Drosophila melanogaster: one gene and its partner. The protein of the gene in region 1 purifies or fractionates together with the protein of each later gene. This does not show direct contact. Each region holds a gene or a part of one and is shown in the gene's direction. Other genes may lie near its edges. The genes, in order: Ciao1 and galla-1.

Region 1 (3,879 bases):
ACGGCGCATGTGGCGGTTACCAGTCCCAGATGAATGCAATACAACTCGTAGACGCGCACTTTGGCCGGTGACAGCTTGGGGAAGCACAACTCCGCCAGATCGTGGTAATAGTCCATTGTAAGAGCACCTGGTTCTGTTGGGGATTTCGAACCGTTGCCACTGGCTGCTCCTGTGGACAGAAAGTGGTGCTGCAAATCCACGACGGTACTAAGAACGCCACCAGACATGTCCTCGAACCAGAGGAAGTACGAGTAATGGAATGCCTTATCCTTCCACATCACTGTGGTCTGGCCCTTCTTAAGGTAATTTCTCGCGATCTCCACCATGCTCCAGAGTTTTGTCTTTGGCACCAGCTGGTTCGGTCGCAGATCCGGAGCAAGCATTTGTCCTCGGCTGCGATTGACGTACATAAAGTGCACCAGACCCGGAAAATCCTCCAAATAAGCATCAATGGATATGTTACGAGTGGCCTTAACGGCCAGAAATTCAGCGAACTCCAGTAGCTTGGCTTCCACATTCGCTGCCGTATCAGAGAGTTGATCCAGCTCATGGACACTTGAGCTGTCGCAGCAGGCCAGTGTGAATATCTGCTTCAGTTCCTCTCCGAACGAGGGCAAATTCGACTCAATCCTCACGAGCAGCTCCCGCTCAAAGTTCTTGAAGTACTCAGTGTACATCTTGCGAAGATTCTCCCATTTAGCGGCGAACTTCTTCGTGCAGTTCTCTAGGTCATCGGTTTCCGATCGCTGTTTCAGATATCGCTTCAAAGCGGTCAAGGCCTGCACAATAAACGATTCGAGGTTCTCGAAGGCGGGCTTCAGGGCATCCGAATCGCCCTGATGCTGAACAGCCACGATTTTTTGAAGCACAAAGAAGGAATCGTAGATGCAGCTGGTCAGTGGCATGTGGGCGTACTCGATGACCTGCAGGAGAACTTGGTTACCATGGAGACGCGAGATGTGCACGATACTGGGAACGCAGCCAGAGTTCACATCATAGGAGACACCCTGCAGGAATACAGCTACTGCTCGCTGGGAAGGGGACTTTGGCGCTTGCAGGGCGCGTGACATGAGGCTGAGGAAGAGTAGGTCGGCGGCAGCAAGCGGCAGAGCTTGCCGAGTGCTGTTCGCGGCCACCAGCTTGTTGGAAACGAGCAACAGGGCGTGGGCTCGGGGCAGTCCGAGCTGGCGCAAGTGCTCAAGCGTGGCGTCCAGCGTCAGATGCACTGTCCTCTTTAGTTCCGTGTTGATCAGCAGCCTGGGCATGGCCTCCAGCAGGTACGTCTGATCCTCCTCCCACAACAAAGTCTCATAGCAGTCGAGGCACTGCGTCAGCAACTCCTGTTGCATGGCCCCCGCCTGGGCGGCAAACAAATTGGCGCCGTAACAATAGCGCGTCAGCGTAATGGCCACACCCATTTGGCGACCCAGCAGCTCCACGGGTATTTGTCCGATCTTCAGAAAGGTGAAGCCAAGAAGTTCGCCGAACACCAAATTGAAGCCTTGCTCACACTGCAGGCTGGAGTAGGCATTATCGAACTGGCACTGCATTATTCGCTGAGATCCAACGATGGGGCTGAAAATCTGCAGCAGTATGTTGCTGTCCAGGGAGCCGCCGGACTGGAGCAGGCCCTGGGTGGTGGCCACACTCCGGATCTTCTGCGCCAGCGGCTCGTTAAGCTTCTGGTATACAACATCGTTGGCGCTGTTAAACACAATCAGTCCGTTCATTTTCTTATCAGCATTGGCAAAACACCAAATACACAACAAAACTTTCACCAGTGTCACTGGTGCTGGGTAACGGAATTCGGTGTGTGTTCTGATAAGAAAAGGTGAAGACTTCAAGTCAGCATTTAACAACACTAGAGCGATTCAGCTCTGAGCAATTCAACGCTTTTCAAGCCAGAATTATATATTAAAAGCCTAGTATACGTTCGACTTTTTTTATCCGAATTGCCAATTGAAATTGCTTTTAGTTGAGTTACTAAGTATTGAACTGTAATAAGTTTCCTGATCAAATTAATTTATAATTTATAATATATGAATTTTCAAATTTATTGCATTTTTTTATTATTGCAAAGCAATATCGCTTTGCTTAGATATGAAGAACACAATTTTAAAATTTAATTTTATCCCGATTTACAAATTAAGCTAGATGAACGACTTCTGCCGACGTTTGACCACACTGACGACAGCTGACTTTCTTCTTCTTGCGACATGCGCTTATGTTATCATTATTTGGACAGACAGTGATTTGTCCACTAATACAGCACTTGACCATCAATGGGACGTTTAATTCTGGAACACACGCTGCAGGGCCACAAGGGGCGCATCTGGGGAGTGGCATGGCATCCTAAGGGCAACGTATTCGCCTCGTGCGGCGAGGACAAAGCCATCCGCATTTGGTCGCTGACCGGGAACACTTGGAGCACAAAGACCATCCTATCCGATGGCCACAAGCGCACTATTCGCGAGATCCGATGGTCTCCATGCGGTCAGTACTTGGCCTCGGCCAGCTTTGATGCCACCACGGCGATCTGGTCGAAATCCTCGGGAGAATTCGAATGCAACGCAACATTGGAGGGTCACGAAAACGAGGTGAAGAGCGTTAGCTGGTCGCGATCCGGCGGACTACTGGCCACCTGTTCGCGGGACAAGTCCGTGTGGATCTGGGAGGTTGCCGGCGATGATGAGTTCGAGTGCGCCGCCGTTTTGAACCCGCACACACAGGACGTGAAGAGAGTGGTGTGGCATCCAACCAAGGACATTTTGGCCTCCGCCTCGTACGACAATACCATAAAAATGTTCGCAGAGGAGCCCATAGACAACGACTGGGATTGCACAGCCACTCTTACTTCACACACAAGCACGGTTTGGGGCATTGACTTCGATGCTGATGGCGAGCGCCTGGTTTCCTGTAGCGATGACACCACAATAAAGATTTGGAGGGCCTACCATCCCGGAAATACAGCCGGAGTGGCTACGCCCGACCAGCAAACCGTGTGGAAGTGCGTGTGCACAGTGTCCGGGCAGCACTCGCGGGCTATCTACGACGTGTCCTGGTGCAAGCTTACAGGTCTGATAGCGACTGCCTGTGGCGACGACGGCATTCGTATCTTTAAGGAGAGCAGCGACTCCAAGCCAGACGAACCCACGTTCGAGCAGATAACCGCGGAGGAAGGCGCTCACGATCAGGACGTAAACTCGGTGCAGTGGAATCCTGTGGTGGCCGGGCAACTGATATCATGCAGCGATGATGGCACCATTAAAATTTGGAAAGTGACCGAGTAACATAAGGATTATTGTTTGATATATTTAAGTGGGTAATTCTGGAACTTAATTTTTGTACAGTGTCTGCGTAATAAAAAATTAAAGTATTCAAATGATGGATGAAGTGTGTCATACACGATTATGGGATGCATTACACCTAATATGGATTGCTATTTGCTGAGGAACGGTTCCTGCAACGTTTTGTACAGCTTCTTGGCCTTCCGGGGACCCAGTCCCATCACCTGGGAGAGTCGCTCCTCGCTGGCATTGATTATGTTGCCCAGGTTGCCAAAGGTGTGCAGCAAGGCGGCAGCATCAGTCTTGTTCACCGGCTTGATGTTGGTGAGAGCAGCGAGTAGCTATGGACATTGGGATATTGCATTACAGTGGCGATACTGGCAATGTAAACATGCGTACCTTCTGGTGTGGATTAGACTCCACTCGCTCCATGATCAAATCTGGCGGACGCTTCTCGAACTGTTTGTACGTCTCAATGATTTTGCCCGCCTCCTCAGCGTTCCAGGCCAACATCATTGTCAGGTCGGCTAACAGTGATATCCTGGTCAAGCTCTTGAGGGCATTGTTTGGCTCTGGTGTGTCCACCTGGACC
Region 2 (5,093 bases), 5.8 Mb from region 1:
GTTCAAATCGAACCCATTCTCGGCCAGCACAATGCGGAACTTTACGGCACGCACACGATGGTACAGAGTGGTCTTGAAGTAGTTCAGGAACACCGGACGGAAGGAGTTTTGACGCTCCAAATTTTCGATCTGGATATCCAGCTCCAGGACATCGGACACCACCAACTTGGCAAACGGACGTATGGCATTAAACATATTCTCCAATGCCTCCGAGCTTTTTGGTTCCGGCTTGCCGTCGGAGTTGCTCAGCTGAAGGGCCACATCAAAGGCCAATTTGGCACGAACACTGGCATTGCCATCAAACAGTTCCCGCTTACCCTGAACGGCGTTCTTGCTAGATTGCTTATCGTCACCATTGGTCACGGTACTGTCCCTGGGGGATATCGATACCGAATCGGACACCATACTAGATCCAGATCCCAAGCCAGATCCAGATCCAGATGTGGACGCAGAGCAAGCCGCGTCTTCCTCCTTGGTCGTGGACAAGATCTTGGAAAGCTTTCGCAGACTGTAGTTCTTTATGTTGGCATCGCCAATGGAAGCCTTGGCCAGATTGATGCTGTTTGCAAACGACTTCACCGACGCGGTGAAGCGCTCCAACAGGCCGTACTTCTTCAACGACTCCAGGATCATGTAGGGAATGAACTTGCGCTCTTCATGATAGATAAGCACAATCCCGTCCGAGCTGGGACCCGCCTTGGTCTTCAGTTGCTCAAGCCAGTTGAGGAAGTCCTTGAGGGCAGCGATCTCAGACTTGGATTTAATGATCTGAGAGGATATTGTATGTTGAATTGTGGATGCTTCAATACTTGACTGCCACTATTAAATGGACTGGACTGCACTGGACTCACCTTATAAGTCTGCATCGACTTCAGCATACGATAAAAGCCAATCGAAATAACACGAACTTGATGACGCTGGCGAGCAGCTGGATTCAGATTCATATATGGCATGATGTACTGCTCGAAGTGGTCGGTGGGTGTATAAGCGGCCAGCTGGACAATCTGTGGGTTTATCGCAAGTGGGGTTAGGACCGAACGACGAACGATCTAACGGCAGTCAGGGGGTATTACCTCATCCATTAGACGACGTCCAGTGGTGTCGATATCCACGCCCACCAGGATATAATTACCGGCCGGCAGCTCAACTTTATCGCCCACGGGCGACGAGGATTGATCGGCGACGGCAATGGCCACTCCGGCATCGATGTTATCGGCAACCATTTTCTTATATGATCTGCGAAAAGCAATCTAGAAAATTCGGATAACGAAATTAGCTGAGTCACTAGAATTTTTTTTTTTTAAGGAACCGATTTCCTTTGCAAAACGCGAACCGCTTTCACTAGATTTTCGATATGAAGTGACGGGCTACGAATTTTCAAGAGTCTATTAAACCCAAAGCTACAACTAACGGTTTTCTTCCAGTGGCGCCATCTTTTACACAGATGTTTTTATGTGTATGTATGTATGTTCACTTTCACCACACTTTAGCACTTTTCTTTTGGGCTCACCTTTATTGAACTCCTTTTTCGTGTTGGTTTCGATGGGCTCTTTCGCTTTTTACGAACTTTTTCCTTTATTTTTCAAAAGGTTAAAGCGAAATTTGCTTCTGTTCGACGAGCTTTCACAAATAAGAAACAATTCGTACGACTAACTAAAACGTAATGAATAATTTCCTGATGCACCCGACGGCCTAGGAAAAGTGCGCGAATTTGACATATGCAAAGCCTGCTAATCGAGGTTTTTGACTTAAGTACGATGGGTTAGACAGCTGCAACTCGTCCACATCTTGCCACAACGCCCACTGTGCAGGTGAAAACTTTTTGCAGAATATTTTTACCGCTGCTATAATAAAATATAGTCTTTCAGCTTGTAAATAAATTTTTTTCCAATTATTAGCCGGCAAAATTGGTGGGTAAACAACAAATATTTGGACAAAAGCGCAGACAAGAACTGATAAGAGGATCAGGGATGACGAATTTCAAATGGTTGCGCCAGAGATGACAGGGTATCGATATCACTATCGATAGACTTATCGAAGACGGCTTAGCACTTATACCTACTCTGCAGCCCTGGTCGGCAGAAAAACAATAATCAGCTGATGCCATCGCTTATTTCCAACAATTTGCACCGCAAAAGTGAAGAATTACCAAGCAAATAGATCGCCTGCCGACCGAATTATGCTGCTGTAATCACCCAAGCACACAACGGTAAAGATAAAACCAGGCGAGATAACACCACGCACAGGTGCCACAACATGCTGTCCTACATAAAGCGCAAGCTCTCCGAATCCGACAGCGGCGTCAGTTCGGTCGCAACTGTGACGTCGTCGTGCGGCGGCGATAGTGGGAGAGCGGGCGGAACGGGCAGCAGTGAAAGCGGTACGGGCAGCAGCAGCGCCAGTATCAGCGGACGCAGCCAGAACGCCGACGAGTTAGTGCGCAAAACGAGCCAGATGTCGATGGATGATGAGGCCATTGCCTTCGGGGAGGACGCACTGCTCCATGAACTGGGCTACAAGAATCAGACGGAACTGCAGGAAACCATCTACGGTTCGATATTTAATGGCATTCTTTTTCACTTTGGCCTAGTTATGTAATTTCTCTTGTCGTTACACAGATCTGTTGCGCGGCATTCGCGATCCCGAGAAGCCGTGCACTTTGGAGGACCTCAACGTTGTCTACGAGGATGGAATCTTTGTGATGCCGCCCACGCGCTCCAATGTCTCAGTTGTACGTTACTCAATATCTTTATAAGCCATAAGCTTGAGCCCTAATCATCATTTCATCATAAGTTAAATCTGCGCGTGTGTTTATTTGCTTTCATCACTATTGTTGCTTAATATTTGAAAGGATTAACGATTTAGCTTCAAAATGACTTTAAAATTGATCTCATAGCTTAAAGTACTTGTATTATACTAAATCCACACCTCATAAATCTTTTGTGTAGTAAAAAGTTGAAATGCATGGTATTTGTCTCTTAATTCTTTCAGGTTCGCATCGAGTTTAACCCCACAGTGCCACATTGCTCGTTGGCCACGCTTATTGGACTCTGTATACGCGTGAAAGTAGAACGCGGACTTCCGCACAACATAAAGCTAGACATATACATCAAGAAGGGAGCGCATCAAACCGAGGAAGAGAGTAAGTTGGACCAACCAGATACTATTATCATACATATGTGTTCTAAGTAAAAATGATTACGTTTCCCCAGTTAACAAGCAAATCAATGACAAGGAGCGCATCGCTGCGGCCATGGAGAACCCCAATCTGAGGGATTTGGTCGAGAACTGCATCAAGGATGAGGAGTAGCTCTCTTTGCCATATCTTTTGTACATAGGGAATACTTTGAGGAATGTCTAGGATTAAGTGTACCATTAAGTTGCATCAGGGAGTGTGTGCTTAGCATTAAAGCCCTTAAAATCTGTTAATCGCTCGGCCGTTTTGATTCCACCAGAATATCGATTGCTCAACGTCCTATCTATTTTCCCGCCTATGCTGCTTACTGATAAGGTCCCCCGGGCCCAACAACTCTCATTGTTTACATTGTGCCGAAGCGATATGGCCGTCGGACATTCGGCCCAAGAAAACCGTGTGCACATCGGTGTCATGGCGGGTGAATGAATCTGAATCGCAATCGTATCGATGGGCCGGCCATGTTGGGCACCAGCCAGACGGCGTGTACGTCACACGGATTTATCAGCTTCAGAAGAGTAGAGAATGTTTGGGGCGTAACGCAGGGTAATCACCTGCCGTTGGCGCTGTTAAGTTGAGTGCATGACACACATTCGACTCAACTCGACTCGGCTAATTTCTTTGCAACTCTCCGGTTTCAGTGAGCACTTTGTTGCCATGACTGTCGCTGTTTCTGCTCCAATTTGCATTTCCGGGGTTTTCCATTTGTTAAATTGCACTGCACTTCCGCTCATTTCGCTCTTACTGCTCCCCCCACCAAAGTGGCAAGCCATAAATATTAAGCAATATCAATTAGTTGCTTGCCATCGCGCTCAAAATGCTTTAAACTAATTTCCAAAGACTTAGGCAAAAAACATCCCCACCAGCAATTAAAACCATCTGGCGCTGCGAACTTTTTGCCATGACACCGCTGGCCAATATTCACGGAATGGAAACCGGACCAGAGCAGACCCTTCGTGCCCCTAAGGCGTGCCGCGTGCCTCAGAAGGCGAGGGAAAAATAATAAAAATGAATGCGCAGACAAAAGCATATTGCGAATATTACGCTAATTGGCGACTGCAATCAAAGCGGACCTCGGCCTGGACACGTCGGCCGAAAGGAATAGGAGTGGCAGACACTAGCTTCTCCCAGCCTTCCAGCAGCCGTGTCGCCAGCCTGACCATGACCGAAGCCATCGGAGAAGCTTGTGCCCCCCAGCTCCACCACGCGGTTTTCAGGTGAACAGTAATTGGAGGCAGACTGGTCTGCTACTTGTTATCAATCTATATTATGTGGATATCCGTATAAAATAAACACTTTAAAACCAATATTTAAACTGATTACATTAATACATAATAGTTGATAATCATAATTCTTGGAATAGATAATGAGTAGAATCCATTTAATATGAGCTACTGGAGTGACACCTTTAATAACCACCGAAGAGCACGTGAACAGAGACTTGGGACACAGCCATAATGACTCAGTTGACACACCGGCAATGGCCCAGGAAGGAGTCATGGGAGATGATGGCCTGGACTGCGACAGAATTTTATGTGCGAAAAATGCATAATTTATTCTGTTAATGCATATGCATTTAAGCCGAGCCAACAACTGCAGCAATTCCCCAGGATTTGCTGACCGGCAATTGTCATTTGTGCAGCGGTCAAAGTGACCCATTTAATCCCGTCCTGCAGTGCCCGCCCAGTGCCACGCCCCTGCTCCCACAACCCCCGGGTTACATAACCCCCGAGTACATAAGTAGGCAAATGCAATGAGTCCGACTCCAAGTCACAGTGGCCCGAAGACGAGGGGCACAGATTGCGGCCACCGAGATTTCCTTCCGATACGCAATGCTGTTAAATTGTATGCCATTATTATGATTGCCATCGTGACGGCGGGCATCCGGGACGGAGTGCAC

Evidence for each region.
Region 2: the proteins of Ciao1 (region 1) and galla-1 purify together in Drosophila melanogaster (affinity purification with western blotting; 2 studies listed by BioGRID, with this or other methods). This does not show direct contact.

The regions. Positions count from the first base shown.
Region 1 is NT_033778.4:14,853,363-14,857,241, reverse strand, and holds Ciao1 (Ciao1), read left to right. Parts: upstream 1-2,193; 5' UTR 2,194-2,282; coding exon 2,283-3,290; 3' UTR 3,291-3,379; downstream 3,380-3,879. Other genes in the region: HPS1 (Hermansky-Pudlak syndrome 1), read right to left, coding at 1-1,730; Ercc1, read right to left, coding at 3,440-3,628, 3,687-3,879. UniProt on the Drosophila melanogaster protein: Essential component of the cytosolic iron-sulfur (Fe/S) protein assembly machinery. Required for the maturation of extramitochondrial Fe/S proteins.
Region 2 is NT_033778.4:20,669,128-20,674,220, forward strand, and holds galla-1 (galla-1), read left to right. Parts: upstream 1-2,076; 5' UTR 2,077-2,256; coding exon 2,257-2,551; intron 2,552-2,618; coding exon 2,619-2,731; intron 2,732-2,991; coding exon 2,992-3,142; intron 3,143-3,212; coding exon 3,213-3,310; 3' UTR 3,311-4,368; downstream 4,369-5,093. Other genes in the region: exu (exuperantia), read right to left, coding at 1-768, 852-1,004, 1,074-1,223. UniProt on the Drosophila melanogaster protein: Component of the crb-galla-Xpd (CGX) complex which is essential for proper mitotic chromosome segregation in early embryos. The CGX complex is also required for cell proliferation in developing wing disks.